2 linked regions of the Tamandua tetradactyla genome follow. Each later gene encodes a partner of the first gene's protein in a complex. Links are inferred from orthologs where the notes say so. Each region holds a gene or a part of one and is shown on either strand. Other genes may lie near its edges.

Region 1 (8,033 bases):
TAACTATTTGAGAAACTGCTGCCTTCAAGATCATGCTCACTGAGAGGTTAATGCACACTCTCCTTGCTTCTGCACTCTACATTCACCTGTTCCACATGTTGCAGTGTCTTCCCTTTATCTATTTACATGACAGTCTCAGGCAGCCTGTCAGGTTTAACTGTATTTTAGGCATTACCTGTGTGCCCAGCACTGTGCTATGGACTGGAAAGAATTAAGGGGTGGTCTCCACCTTCCTCAGAGAAGCTCAGGGTCTAATGTAAAAGAGCAATCCCCCCCCCCCCCCCAAAATAAAGGTCAGTCAAAGAGGTCATTTTCATTTTAATAAAATGTGGTAAGAGCCATGACAGCAGTATTTGTAGGCTGCTTCAGTAACAACTTCTCATAACATCCTTGAGAGGCAGGGAAGGAGATAACCAGACTTGCAGTGAGCCAGGCAAAGAATGGGGACAGATTATTCAGAGAGGAGGGTCAGGCCAAGAAAAGGAAAGGAGGCATGAAAGTATAGAGTCTGTGTGGGGAAAAAATGAAAAGGAGCCTATGTGGTTGCAGATACAGGGCACAACAGTACACTGATAATTGGCTGAAGAGAGGCAGGGCCTTCAAGGCCAAGGACTTGACTTACTGGGGAATGAATGATGTGGACAGACCTCAACTCTGAGTCCAGCCCTGTCATAGTTGTCAGTCTGGCTCTAGTACCCAAAGTGTTGAGCTTTTTCTGCACAAGTGGTTTGTCTTCATCTGGGTATGGGCCCCACAGAACCAACTGGAACTTCATTTTGTGTTCTAGTTGCAAAAAAGTTTTGATTAAGGGCCCACGGGATCAATTATAGACTTCCGGTCTCCATTTCAGGTCACTACCCTTGTTTTTCTTTTTTCTCACCTTCTTCTAATTTATATCATCTTGTATTTTATACCCAGAAAAGCTGCCGTAGGTCTTTTCTTTTTTTAAAGTGTATAATAAATAACAAGTCATTCTGGAGTTGGCATAATGGATGAATTTGAAGAGGGAAAACCTGACAGCAGGGAATGAGTGGAATGAGCAATAGTCCAGATGAGAGATGATGAATGGCTGGAGGTGGTTTGTGTACAGGCAATAATAGAAATTGTGAGCAGAAGAGGGAGTTCAAGAAGAGTGGTAAGAGAACTGTAAAACGCACAGATATTTAAGGATTGGACAGAGAAAGAGTCCAAGGACACAGCGTAGGTATAGAGAGGTAAGGGAAGAACCATGGGAAATAGTGACTTAACAGCCCAGGGAACATAGAGCACTGGGCAAAGAGCTGGCAAGTATAACATAAAGGCTGCAATGTCTATTGAAGACATGAGCTAATGTCTTTCTTTTGTATCCATCTCTGCATCTCTCCACAACTAGTGGAAGGCCTGGCACACAGAGCTATCCTTCAGTTATCTTTGAATGATAGGTATTTATTTTCCACTTTAATCCACAAACGATATATAGGAGCACATGGTCAAAACTATTTTGTAAATATAAATAAAATGATTCCTCTGCTGTATGAATCAAGCCAAGGTAGGGAAACACCTCCAAGCACCTTGCTACTCAAAACATGGTTCAAGGACCAGCAGCATCAGCATCTCCTGAGAGCCCAATGGACATGCAAATCCTCAGAGCTACTGAATCAGAAGCTGCATTTTTAGCCCAGGTGATCTGCCAGCACAGTCAGGTTTGAGAATCAATGCTCTAGGAATAGGAAAAACCACTTTGCAAATGTGTCTCAGAAATAAACACTGGGCTCACTGCTTTCTTAGTCCTCAACTACAAGCTGACATTTTAACCTTTTAATTCAACCAACAAGACTGTCCTATAAATTAATTCTTACACTGTCAATGAATGTCAACATTGGCTGCACAAAGAATCACATGGGGATTTAAAAAGCAGATGCCTACAAGTTCCACCTCTAGAAATTCTGAGGAAATTGACCTGGGCATCTTTATTTTTTATTCTAACATGCAGTTAAGATTGAAACAACACGTGGCCCATGACTTTGAAAAGGGGTTTCTCAACTTGACCTCGAGTCTGACCTATGCTGAAGCAGTAGTTCTTAATCATTATTGCACTTCATTCACCTGAGGAACTTAAAATAAAAAATTATACCAGGGATTCATTCCAGAGGAGAGAATCAGAATTGGGGTTGGGGTGGGGGGAGGTGATATTTTTTAAAGTTACCCAGGTGATTTGAATGTGCAGGTGAAGTTGTGCTCTATGGAGAGTTTCAGTCTCATAGATAAGAAAGCTAAATACTACTTGTTTCCTATTCTTGGTTCCAGGACGTCTAGAAACAGGCAAAAAAAAGATGCCATAAGGAAAAATTAGGACAGAAATTCAGGGAGAAAACAGCTCTGGAGAAGGCTGTGGACCAGTGTGCCTTAGTCTTTGCATATCATTGACCTTCTCTTAGAAAGCTACCATGGTTTTTATATTACCACTAGAGCTAACATATTCCAATATTTTGGGAGCTTACCAAGCACCTCGCTGCTGCTCCGTAAGGCAGAGACTAGTATTCCAATTTTATTCGGATTGAGGCTTAGAGAGGTTACGAGACCTAGCCAAAGTTTCAGTAAGTGGCAGCGAGAATTCGAACCCAGGGATCTGTGCTCTTCTTCGTAATCACTAGGCCACCCGCCTCGGGGCAGATGAGACAAGCGCCGTTAGGCAGCGGGGGTGGCAGCGAGCCAGACACCCCTGGAGTCACTCTCGCCTGCACCTGGAGCGGCCCCGTGGCCCCCGGTCGGCCCGCCCCCAACTCCCGAGCGGGCAGGGTGCCTGACCCCTGCCGGGCCCCAGCAAAGTCACCGCTAGTTACCTGCGCCAGCACCAAGACCGGCTGTGGAGCCGCAGGCCTCGTCCGGATCCCTGAGGGGCACAGGGCTGTGCTGAGCGGTCGGGCCGCACCTAGCGTACCGGCCCGGGGCAGCGGCGTGAAAGCCGCGGACAGGCGACGGACACAGGCTGAAAGGACACGAGCCGCCATGACTACGCCGACCCAGGATGCACTGCGCTGTTGTCTCAGGCTCAGATTTCTTTTATCGCGAGGCGCAGGGGCCGGACAGAGCCACGCGGTCGGGCGCCGCCGGCTGGGGCGGCTCCTGGCGGTACTGCGCCCTGGGAGCCGCGCTGCTCGGCCACGCTGGTTCAGAGGCCACAGGTGCAAAACTGCGCAGGTAGGGTCTTTCCCTAAAAATTAGTAGTTAACAGAGAAAGGTACTATTTTTACTTATCTGAAAGTTCTGAAATACATTTATATAAAGGTTTGATGCCGTGGTTCTCCCATAGGTATTCAGACTTATTTAATAAGTCAAAAACTCAGATGGTACAAAATAAGAATGTGAAAAAATAAGAATCAGTGTAAATATGTAAGACTAATAAATGTGGTATTACAATAAAAACAGGAACACGTTTTAAAGTTTGACAATGTATAAATAACACAGTTTAACAAAAATGGGAAATGGGGAGAAGTTGAAGTATTCTGCTTATTTGCTCCTATTTCTTAGTTGAAAGCCTAAGGATGTTGGTAGAAATTGAAACAACTCCCATCTCTGAGGACTGCCTGGATGAATGTAACAATGCCGTCGGTTTTTCTTCAGTTAAATTCAAGTAAACTTTTGTTAAATTCAAGTAAAATAAAATGTAATGCTTGTCATTTAAAGTAGAATGCATAGTATGATCACACGATTGTAAAATTATTTTATCTATGCATTCAGTAAAAATTATTGCGTAGATCTGTTATGTGCTAGTAGCTGAGGCTATCAGTGGACAAACCAGACTGTAGTCCAGTCTCCTGGAGTTTGCATTCTAGTGAGAAGAGATAGACAATAATAAGTAAACCACACACACCTGTCCCCACTCTCCCTGCCCCCCAAAACAACAACAACAACAAAACCCCAATCCTCCAGGAAGTAGTGATAAGTACCATGAAGAAAAAGAAAGCAGAGAAGGGGATAATGAGGGAGTTCAGAGCTCTTATTTTAGAAAGGGTGGGCCCTGAAGGTGTCTCTTAGGAAAGAATGTTTGAGCTGAGACCTTAATGGATCAGGGGAGGGAAAACAGAACCTCAAGAATCACTCTGCAGCTGGTGATGCCAACGAAAGTCCTTACAGCAGTGCTGGCAGTTCATGGCAGGCTTTTCCTGTATGCTGACTTCATCACGACCTCACTGTTTATTAGCAGTAAGAAGAGCAATTGTATCACCTCTTTGGGATGACCAAAGGCTGTTGAGTTGGCAGCCTTCCATTTCTGTGGAAAACTGACTGACTCCAAATCTCTGTTTGAACCTGGGACCAGGGCACATAGGATCCGCTTGGGTCAACAGTGACATGCCAGCTTCTGATTCCTCCCTCCAGGTCACACCCTGGAGTTTGGACAGATCCATAGTGGCGCCTGCAGAATAAGGGGGTATGCTCAGAAAGACCCTGATAGCCTACTACATCTGCTCTTTGCACTATCTCTTCCCCGTGACCATCAAAAATAATACATCACTTTGCATTTAAATGGTTTGTTGGTTGGGATAGCTGCTTTTACTTTTAGCAAACACATGAAGAGAAAATGCTAGCCTACATGGTCTGTAGGGTAAAAGGTATAATATTAAGATTGATGTCAAATCCTTAGCAGCTGGGGAAGATTTAAGAGAGGATATGGTACTTTTCTTTAACACTCTGTGTGCCATCAAAGGATGTTGTATTAGTTCGGGTTCTCTAGAGAAACAGAATCAACAGGGAACACTTGCAAATATAAAATTTATAAAAGTGTCTCACGTGACTGCAGGAACGCAGGGTCCAAAATCTACAGGGCAGGCTGTGAACCCGACGAATCCAATGGATGGTCTGGATGAACTCCACAGGAGAGGCTCACCAGCGGAAGCAGGAATGGGACCTGTCTCCTTTGAGTCCTCCTTAAAAAGCTTCCCGTGATTAGATATAGCATCACTAATTGTAGAAGACACTCCCCTTTGGCTGATTACAAATGGAATCAACTGACGTGATCATGACCTAATCCTATGAAATGTCCTCATTGCAACAGACAGGCCAGCACTTGCCCAATCAGATAAACAGGTACCACAACTTGGCCAAGTTGACACATGTCCCTAACCATGACAGTCCACCCCTTGTCAACTTGGCACCTATATATATATATCACCTTAAACCATACTTAATTTCCAAATGAAAACAAATAAGCACAAATTTTTTTCTTTTTCCTAACAATACTCAACTATCCTGCATATAACTGGAAACACATTAAATCTCTCCAGAATAGGGTGCAAATCCTTGGGCAACATTCATTCTTAAACTTGATATCTTACAACTTAAATAGTATAACATGAACAAAACAGCATTACAGTCCTCGTTTCTGTAACTGATCACGTGGTTGAAGTTCATATTTATCACTACCTTCTTCCACTACTCATCCCATGTTCCCTTTACCCTCAGGAAGCACTTCAGCTGACCGTGGTTCTTTGCCTAGTGGGGTGACTCAAATCTTCATTCCTGAAGTTTCAGAGCCAATAGTAGCCTTGCCTGGATTGTGTTGTTGCAGTTTTCCATTGATTTTAATCACAGGGCATGGTAGTACTAATAGATGCTGTATTAGTTAGGGTTCTCTAGAGAAACAGAATCAACAGGGAACACTTGCAAATATAAAATTTATGAAAGTGTCTCACGTGACCGTAGGAACGCAGAGTCCAAAATCCACAGGGCAGGCTGCGAAGCCGATGACTCCGATGGATGGCCTGGATGAACTCCACAGGAGAGGCTCACCAGCCAAAGCAGGAATGGAACCTGTCTCCTCTGAGTCCTCCTTAAAAGGCTTCCCATGATTGCATTTAGCATCACTAATTGCAGAAGACACTCCCCTTTGGCTGATTACAAATGGAATTAGCTGTGGATGTAGCTGATGTGATCATGACCTAATCCTATGAAATGTCCTCATTGCAACGGACAGGCCAGCGCTTGCCCAATCAGATGAACAGGTACCACAACTTGGCCAAGTTGACACCTGTCCCTAACCATGACAGATGCCCTAGGGGATCTCCTATATTCCAAGAAAACTCTTCTTTACCTCCATTATGTAGTTGCAGTCCGACGTCCTTCTGATAGTCAGGGTCAGTTACCCCAGACAATAATGTAATCTCCTTCTTGGCTTGTTGATCCAGAGGTATAAGTAGCCCAAAGTGACCAGGTGGCAACCTTAACTTCCAGTTCAGTGGTATCATTGTTGTTTCTCCTGGAGAAAGCACACCCCGTTTTGGAACTAAAACCTATAGACCAGCAGAGCTCAGGGTAGCAGGGACAGGAAGCAAAAATTTTCCTAGTGGATCACTAGGCGTAATAGTGAGTGGTACCACACCCATTTCCACCCCTTGGTTCCTGGACCCATGGATCCTGGTTATGGGAGAAACAGCACCATACAGCGGACGCTGATTCAGAGCATACACAGCTTCCTGGAGAACATTACCCCAGCCTTTCAAGTTTTTGCCACCTAGTTGGTACCGTAATTGAGTTTTCAAAAGGCCATTCCACCGTTCTATCAATCCAGCTGCTTCTGGATGATGGGGAACATGGTAAGACCAGAGAATTCCATGAGCATGTGCCCATTCCCGCACTTCATTTGCTGTGAAGTGTGTTCCTTGATCCGAAGCAATGCTATGTGGAATACCACGACGATGGATAAGGCATTCTGTAAGCCCACGGATGGTAGTTTTGGCAGAAGCATTGCGTGCAGGGAAAGCAAACCCATATCCAGAGTATGTGTCTATTCCAGTTAGAACAAATCGCTGCCCCTTCCATGAAGGGAGTGGTCCAATGTAATCAACCTGCCACCATGTAGCTGGCTGGTCATCTCGGGGAATGGTGCCATATTGGGGGCTGAGTGTGGGTCTCTGCTGCTGGCAGATTGGGCATTCAGCAGTGGCTGATGGCAGGTCAGCCTTGGTGAGTGGAAGTCCATGTTGCTGAGCCCATGCATAACCTCCATCCCTACCACCATGACCACTTTGTTCATGAGCCCATTGGGCAATGACAGGAGTTGCTGGGGATAGATGCTGACTGGTATCCACAGAACGGGTTATCTTATCCACTTGATTATTAAAACCTTCCTCTGCTGAAGTCACCCTCTGGTGTGCCTTCACATGGGACACAAATATCTTCATATTTTTAGCCCACTCAGAAAGGTCTATCTACATACTTCTTCCCCAGACCTCTTTGTCACCAATTTTCCAATTATGCTCTTTCCAAGTCCCTGACCATCCAGCCAAACCATTATCAATAGCTCATGAGTCAGTATACAAACGCACCTCTGGCCAGTTTTCCTTCCAAGCAAAATGAACAACCAGGTGCACTGCTCAAAGTTCTGCCCACTGGGAGGATTTCCCCTCACCACTGTCCTTCAAGGACACCCCAGAAAGGGGTTGTAATGCTGCAGCTGTCCACTTTGGGGTGGTACCTGCATATCGTGCTGAACCATCTGTAAACCAGGCCCGAATTTTCTCTTCCTCAGTCAATTCACTGTAAGGAACTCCCCAAGAGGCCATAGCTCTGGTCTGGGAAAGAGAACGTAATGTGGCAGGAGTGGAAATCATGGGCATTTGTGCCACTTCTTCATGTAACTTACTTGTGCCTTGGACAGGGCCCAGCACAAAATAGGCCCTTAATACGTCAATGGACTCAGATAGAAAAGCTGCTTCTTAAACCGTTTTCGCTAGCAATTTCTCATTCTTTCATTAGCCTGCAACTGTCCTCTCCACTCGCTATGGGTTATACGATCCTCACATCTAAAAGACAAAAGCAACCAGGAAAGCAATCCTAATCATAGTGATATCTGTAATGCGTTTTGCTTTTTTTTTTTTTTTTGCTGGACAGAAGGTGCTTTATTGACAAGTGGGGGTTCAGGTGTCCACAGCAGCTGTGATTGGATCTCACAGAAGGCCTGCTTCTCCACGAGTTTCACTTTGTATTTTTACTTGAACTTAGCTCTCTCCTAGTTTCAAATAGAGTATCTCCTCTGAATCTCACAACAACAAGGT
Region 2 (7,140 bases), on another chromosome or scaffold:
ATTTTAGGACATGATCCTAGTAAGAATCTCAGGTCTTAGGGTCATGATTTCAGGAAAAAGTATAAAATTTGTATAAAAAGTATAAAAGTATAAAATGATTAATAGATTCTTTTGGACAGTACATTTATATCTGAATAATAAACCTAGCTCAAAGGCATATCCTTGAAGCATAATTTGAACTTTTTCCTAAATGTTTATTAGCTTATAGTTGCTCCCACTAAAATTCTTTTTTCAATTTTCTGCCTACTAGATATAGCCTTCAAAGACCTTGCAGCTTCCCACTGTGGACTTGGCATTAATTCACTTGGACAAACCTAGACTTATCTGTTGATTTCACCAGTGGGCTCATAAATCATTTCCAAATGGAATTTTAGAAATGGAAGGGTCATTAGAGATTATTTAGTTCAACAGCCTAATTTTATGAACAAGAAACCTGAACTACAGTGAGGCTGGGAGAAAGGTCAAGGTTATACACTCTTCCAGGGCTTCTATCACAGTGTGTGAACCGTGAACTGATTTCCAGTCCTTGTTTATTCTGAATCTATTTAGATGACAAAATATCTTCTTCCAGACTGTGGCCAGAATGACTGGTTTCTACTTTTTCACATGCATACTTAGTGATTTCCTTGATAGTCATGGTGTTGTGTTTAATTTTTGTTAAAATTTCCATCAGTATGTCTAGTGTTCATAGCCTTTACCTTCCAAAGCCAAAGTCGTTGAATAAAACCATGTTCTCTGTTGGGGACTGACTCATGTTCCCCCAGAAAGGCATGTTTGGGTCTGTGGCCTGTGGGTGTGAACCTATTTGTAAAGAAGACCTTTGAAGATACCATCAGTTAACATGTGCTCATATTGAGGGAGGGTGAGCCTTAATCTAATAGGGCTGAATTCCTTTTAAGTAAAGGAAATTGGACATGGAAAAGGGAGCCATGGGGAGCAGCCAGAAGTGAATGGAACCCAGAAGAGAAAGAAGATGCTGCCCATACGCACTGCCATAGAAAAGGCAAGGACCAAGGATTACTGGCAGCCAGCCCTAGAATGTCAGTCTCTGTGTAGAAAGTGCCCTGTTGATTCCTGAATTTCTCTCTTAACCTCCACATCATGGGGCAACAAATTCCTGTTGTTAAGCCAACACATTGTATGCTATTAGTGCTAGCAGCTAGGAAACTAACACCTGCCATATGAAAGTTTCTTTTAACCACTTGACTGGGTGACTATGACCTCATGTCCAAGATGTTGTTCTCAAGTTTACAGGAGGAGTACCCTTTCTATGCAGGTTTCTAACATTTAGAGAGAGTCACTGTTTGAGAGGCTTAAGTGTTTCTGCCTACTAAGTGATGTTGTACTAGATCTAACAATTACAGGTAGGGGCAAGCATCAGCTCCTATGACAGGGAATCCAGAGGCTGGGCAGTCACCTAAAAGGAGGCCTGGTTTAAAGAGATGAGCTGGTCCTATCAGATTCTTCCTCTTGGGAATATGATTCAGACTCTGAGAGAATCTCTACATTTATATAGCATTAATGATTGGCTAGAAGTTATGAGGAGCCAGAAAACATGAGAAGCTGAGGCTCTAAGGTAGAGAAAAGATAGATATACACAAAGTGTAAGAAAAAGGGACTTGCGAGCATACAAACAGAATAGGGTAAACCTTGAAGGAGTGAGTGTGCAACATTAAGGATCGGTTACTAGATTAAGAATCACATTCTCATGCTGCTTAGGTTTTCTAAGCTGTATTCAGGTCTGCTGTCGTCAGGATAAACTAATGTTTCTGCTTCTACAAGCTGGTGAGAACTCTGTTTCCCTTACAGATACTGATATATTAGCTTCCTCACCTTTACTCCTTGCCCTCACCAATATCCTAACGAAAACGAATTTCGTTCACGCAGCTGAAAGAGCTAATTAAGACATCTAGGAAAGAAAAGGGATGGCCAACGCGAGCCTTCATCTTTATGGATCTGTCCCACCGGCCGGTAACTTCCACTGTCAACTGTTCAACTTCTATGAAAAGTTCTATACATTAAGAAACCTGGTCTTCAGTCTGTCGCTTACAGCTTCCACGTTCATCGTTTTCATGGCAGAAAAGGAACACTAACTGTGCCCCGAGAGCACAATGTCACAAGACTTGGACATCATCCCGCTGATAAGGAAGGGCAAACCCACTGCTACTCACCCCGAGGTCTTAAGGGGCACACTCCTCGGCTGAGGGACCCTTCCCGCGATTGTCCTGAGGACGCCGGCACATGGGTTCCATGCACCCCGGACATTCCTGGGAACCCCCGGCCCCTCCCGGCCCCTCCCAGCCCCATCCCGGTCCCCGCAGCTCCGCCCGTCGGGTCACCTGTAATTGTAGGCGCTGAAATGCTTGCTTTCTCGCAGCATCGCCCGGTAAAGATCTAAAACCTGTGCACGACTGGAGGCTGCCATTTTGGACAGGGGGGCGGAAAAAAAAGTAAACGGGTCCTCTTCGTAGAAGTCCCGCGTCTACCGCAAACCACCAAATTTCCGCCTTTGCAAAACAAAACAAAACAAAACAAAAAACAAACCCACGAAGGAAATGAAATAGAGCGCGTTGTTTTCGCTGGCGGGCGGCGGGCCTCAGGCTGCGTCTGCAGAGCGCGACGGCCTTGCCAATCTCTGAAGGCGCCCAGGAGGCCCGTGCCCTCCCGAGGAAGGCCGCAGGCAGGGCCGGGGCAGCTAAGGGGCGCGGCCGGGTGGGGCGGCGGACGGAGCTCCAGGACAACCAGGTTGGAAAAAGGTCTAGGGCTGCGAAGGCGGGACGGGCGGCCTTTGGGGGGGCCGCCCGCACCCAGCCGCCTTCTTGATAACCGCGGGTGGAGGCTAGGCCGTGAGGGCGAGCATCGACCAGGATGCCTTTTAGCTGACCGCCCCGAGTCGCGGAGGAGACGTTTTTTTCTGGGGACGCATCGCGCGGAGGAACTTCGGTGAGTCCCGGAGCTACCTAAGACAACCCCGGAGTGCGTTGCCTGGGTTACCAAGCACGCCCCGGCGCCCCGCCCCCTGCCTCCGAAGCCCCGCCCCCTGCCTCCGACGTCTTACCCCCAGCCAAACGCCCGCTCTTGGGAAAGCGCCGCCCCCGGCCGTCGATGCCCCGCCCCGTTGGCCACGGCCGCCCTCGGCGCTGCCTGAATGGCGGTGCTCGGGGCTGTTTCTGGGATCTGCGTTTCCGCCGAGGCCTGTCTGCGGGCCTGGGCCGTGGGGCACTCGTCGCGTGCAGGGACAGGGCTCGGGGGGCTCGGAGGGCACGGGCTGGGGGCTCCGTTTCGCTCCGGCTCTGCTTAGGGCGACAGGCTAAGGTGCCTCCGGCGTAGGGCCCACATTTTGTCAAAATGGCCGCGCCCTGCGTGCAGGAGCGGCTCTGAACTGGGTGCGTTAAGTCCCTTCTCGCTACGAGCGAATAGGCCTGCTGCGCTTCTGACTCTGACCTCCCCCAGATCCGGGTTTTCCGGGGCGAGCGGTGGGTGAGTGCCGGCCTCACTGCAGCTTGGGGACGCAACGCTGGCGGTTGGTTTGGGAGGGAGTTAGCACCTGGTCGTGGATATTCCCGTTTTAGCTTCATATTTTAGGCTCTCAAGTTTTTGCTTTTGAATCCCTCAGAGTTTTGTAATTTAATAAATGCATAAAACGGCGGGAGGCCTGAACTCAAAATTTGGGCGACTGATTGGGGACCTTTAGGGTTTTAGGGATTCCTGGAATCATTTCAGACCCAAGGCCAGAAGCCGAGCAAGTTTTACCTGAAGCTTTTCGTGGAAAAGTTTTCTTCAGTGGCCTTTGTCATAAGACTTCAGCTTTTCTGAATAACGTCTTTAGAAGTGGTGGATAAAGTTGCTCTTCCTGATTCTTGAGCGTGGGACTGGGTGCAGGGAAGCCTGAGCGAGTTCTGGAAATGGTGTTGCAGAACACCTCACTTATTCTGAGTCTTCCTGCATATGATCAACGTTAGGAACAATCACAGCTTCCTGTCCCAAAACACTGGGAGGAGTAACTTCATGCGTAAAAACAAACAAGGGCGCATTGACACGCGTCTTTTTTCAACCACCGAGCTATGGCTATGTTCTTATCTCTTCTAGATTTGAAACTATTACTCAGCACCCAAATTGTGGACATTTGTTCCGTATCAAAGCAAGCTCCTATTTCCAGGAATTTTAAGGGCAGAAAATATTTCTCTGACTCTACCAATACCTTAGTCTACTTGCAACAGGCTGTCGGTGCATCCAGGTATACTTACTCGTCTTATTGCAATGACACTTAACAAAAAGGAATTGAAGAGAAAATGCTTTTAGTAAAATGCTTTTAATCCTCCTGTCTGATTTCTTTCTCATGCATCCACGTATCTTAAAATGGATTTTTTTAAAACTGAATAGCAGGACTTTTGTCATTCTTGCGGGTTGGTCAGGTTATTGGGTAAATCTTGCCTGGGATTTATTGAAGAGGCTTTTAATATTTTGTGTTTTCCGTTTTGATATTTCGTAAGCTATATTCAAGGCTAAGAAAAATACCTGGAAAAATACAGTGTTAATGCAAGTTACTGACAGAGAAAACTTATCAAAGTGAGAAGGAAAAAAACTGAAAATAATTTTGCTTTTTTACAAATACTGAGTATTGCATTATTTTACTCTATTTTGCGTTCATCTAGAAGATGAATTTGGCCTAATTGTTAACTTTCTACAATTATTCATGCCTAGTAGTTTTCAAGCAGTTTAATCAGTTTATTTAGATGACTTTTAGCTTTGTTGTAATCAAATAAAACTTTCCAAATAAATGGGTAAAATTTAAATAGTTTGCTTGAGTAGTCTAATTATTTGTTAGTGCAGTGAATGGTTGAGCAGTCATCAGTGAAGAAAGCTATAGTTTACCAACTAATTCTAAGCTAAGTTTTCCAAAAACATTTTATTATTTTGTTTGAAATGATTTACCGGAATGTTGGATGTCATTTTCTTGAAAGACTAATAAAAAAAATCACATAAGAAAGCTAAATCTTGTTTTTTGCACATTGCTATTGCAGAGATGAATTTTTTTTTGGGTGCATAGTCCAGAAATTGAACCCGGGTCTCCCACTTGGAAGGTGAGCCTTCTACCACTGAACCACTGATGCACCCTGACTCTTTTTAATAATAGCACTATTTGAGGTTGAAAGTGGAATTGCGCCAGAAGCTGTGAATGGACCTTGTTCATGTGTCCATTCTATTTTGGGCCAAGAAATTTCACAGATAAGTGAATCTAAACTAGGGGGTACTCCCTACTTTACTGTCACTTAGGCCTCAGAATATAAAACTTTCCTTATATTTACTATCCATAGTTAATACTTTAACCACCTATGTAAAATCATATATTACCTTGCATTAAAATTAGTATTGTCAATGAGCACTTAATGCTTTGTGAAATTTCTTCAAATGTAATAGACAGCATAATGGCAGTTTACTGTCCTTAAGTTGAAATATCAAAATGTGTAAAGAAAATCTTGTATAGAATAGCAACTTCTGATATTATCATTTAGATGTTATTTTACTCCATGCATGGATCTTTAAATCTTTATTTCCTCATTACTTTTATTTGTATTTCATCCTTATAGAATGATGAAATTGAAAGGGACCTTGCACATCAACTCTCATACTTTCAGGTGAACATTCCGAAGCCCTTTTTCTCGTTCATTCATTCAGCTTTTATTGAATACTTCCCAAGTGCAATGTGTTATACAAGATGATAGTTACAAGAGTTATACAAGATGATAGATATAAGAAGTTATGAGGGTCCATCCTTCTTGAGAGCAGTAGAGGACTGGATAAGAAAAGCAAGAATTTATTTTTGACCTGTGTTCTGATACGGTTATATCTTAATTTCCTTGGGCTGCCATAAAAAATTACCCCAAACTTGGTGGCTTAAAATAGCACAAATTTATTGTCTCACTGTTTTGGAGGCTGAAAGTCTCAATTCAAGGTTTTGAAAGGGCTGTGCTCCCTCTGAAGTGTATAGGGAAGCATCTGTTTCATGCCCCTCTACGGCTTCTGTTAGTGGCAATCCTTGGCAACAGAACTCCAGTTTCTGCCTCTGTCTTTCAGTATACTGGTGTCCATATTTTCCTCTTGTGAGGACACCAGTGTTATTTGATTAGGACTCACCCTAATCCGTTTTGGCCTCATTTTAATTAACTATGTAGTCAAAGATCCTATTTCCAAATAATATCATAGTCACAAACCAGGGGTTAGTTTCTTTTTTGGGGGACATAATTCAACCCATAGAACATTGTAGGGGAATACAGAAAAGAGGCATTCAACCAGGGCTTTGATATAAGGGAAGGCTTTTCAGTAGAGGTATTTCCAAAAATGAGTAATAAAGAAGAAGAATGTAATAAATTAGAGATTGCAGTGTATGTTCAAAGTATGGAGGCATGAGGGTGCAAGATTTATTTGGGGAACTTTTAAGTGGTTTGGAATGGGGAGGTGGGGTGAGGATAGGGACCATCTGTGAGTCCATAGAAGAGTTTAGCAGTGTCCTGCTTTATTTTAAGACTGCTTCTTCTTTTGGTGTGATGCCTTTTCTTTAAGGCATTAGGTAGTTCACCTAAGGCAACCTCTGAGCTGTTGACATGGAGATTAGTTTTCCAGATGTTGATAGGCTTGTGTTTCAAGCCATATTTTTGTGTCCTATATTCCAGGAACACTGAAATTTTGTTTATTTTATCTTTCTGTTCAACGGGTAGTTGATGAGCCTGTTAGTGCACACCACTGTTCTTGTGGTGACTTGGGGGCTAAAAATCAAACACAATTATTGTTCTTCAGGAGTTTACAGTTTAAATACAGTTTGTATGTAATTAAAATATGGGGCTGGAAGGAACAAGTGCTGTAAGGGAAGTACTGATGAAGTGCTATGGAGTCTTAGAGGAAGGAGGGGTTCCTCCAGTGACTGATGTCTGGGCCACACTTTATTAGCTGCGTAAAATCCCCTGAGGTCCAGGAAATTGTGCAGCCAGGGCCGAGAAACATTAATCTATGGAAGTTCATGGAGAAGGAAGTGCTGGTATTGGGTTTGGGGGGATTTAGTCTTGAGCTGGGCCTTGATAGGTATTATAGTATTTGAATGCATGGTGTGGTTGTAAGGTGGGCTTACTCTTGAAGACAATG

The links. The genes of interacting proteins can lie anywhere in the genome.
Region 2: the proteins of NDUFAB1 (region 1) and LYRM4 are in contact, whole or in part, in a crystal structure (PDB 6ODD), measured with the Homo sapiens proteins. The link is inferred for Tamandua tetradactyla from reciprocal best matches to the Homo sapiens genes NDUFAB1 and LYRM4. Residues at the interface, in NP_004994.1 of Homo sapiens: Lys92, Asp111, Ser112, Leu113, Asp114, Val116, Glu117, Met120, Glu123, Asp124, Glu129, Ile130, Asp132; in NP_065141.3 of Homo sapiens: Arg6, Leu10, Ser11, Tyr13, Arg14, Leu17, Arg18, Lys21, Arg37, Phe40, Arg41, Lys44.

The regions. Positions count from the first base shown.
Region 1 is NC_135349.1:33,482,422-33,490,454, reverse strand, and holds the start of NDUFAB1 (acyl carrier protein, mitochondrial), read right to left. Parts: upstream 3,035-8,033; 5' UTR 2,991-3,034; coding exon 2,823-2,990; intron 1-2,822. UniProt on the Homo sapiens protein: Carrier of the growing fatty acid chain in fatty acid biosynthesis.
Region 2 is NC_135351.1:7,650,407-7,657,546, forward strand, and holds the start of LYRM4 (LYR motif-containing protein 4), read right to left. Parts: upstream 3,012-7,140; 5' UTR 2,426-3,011; coding exon 2,340-2,425; intron 1-2,339.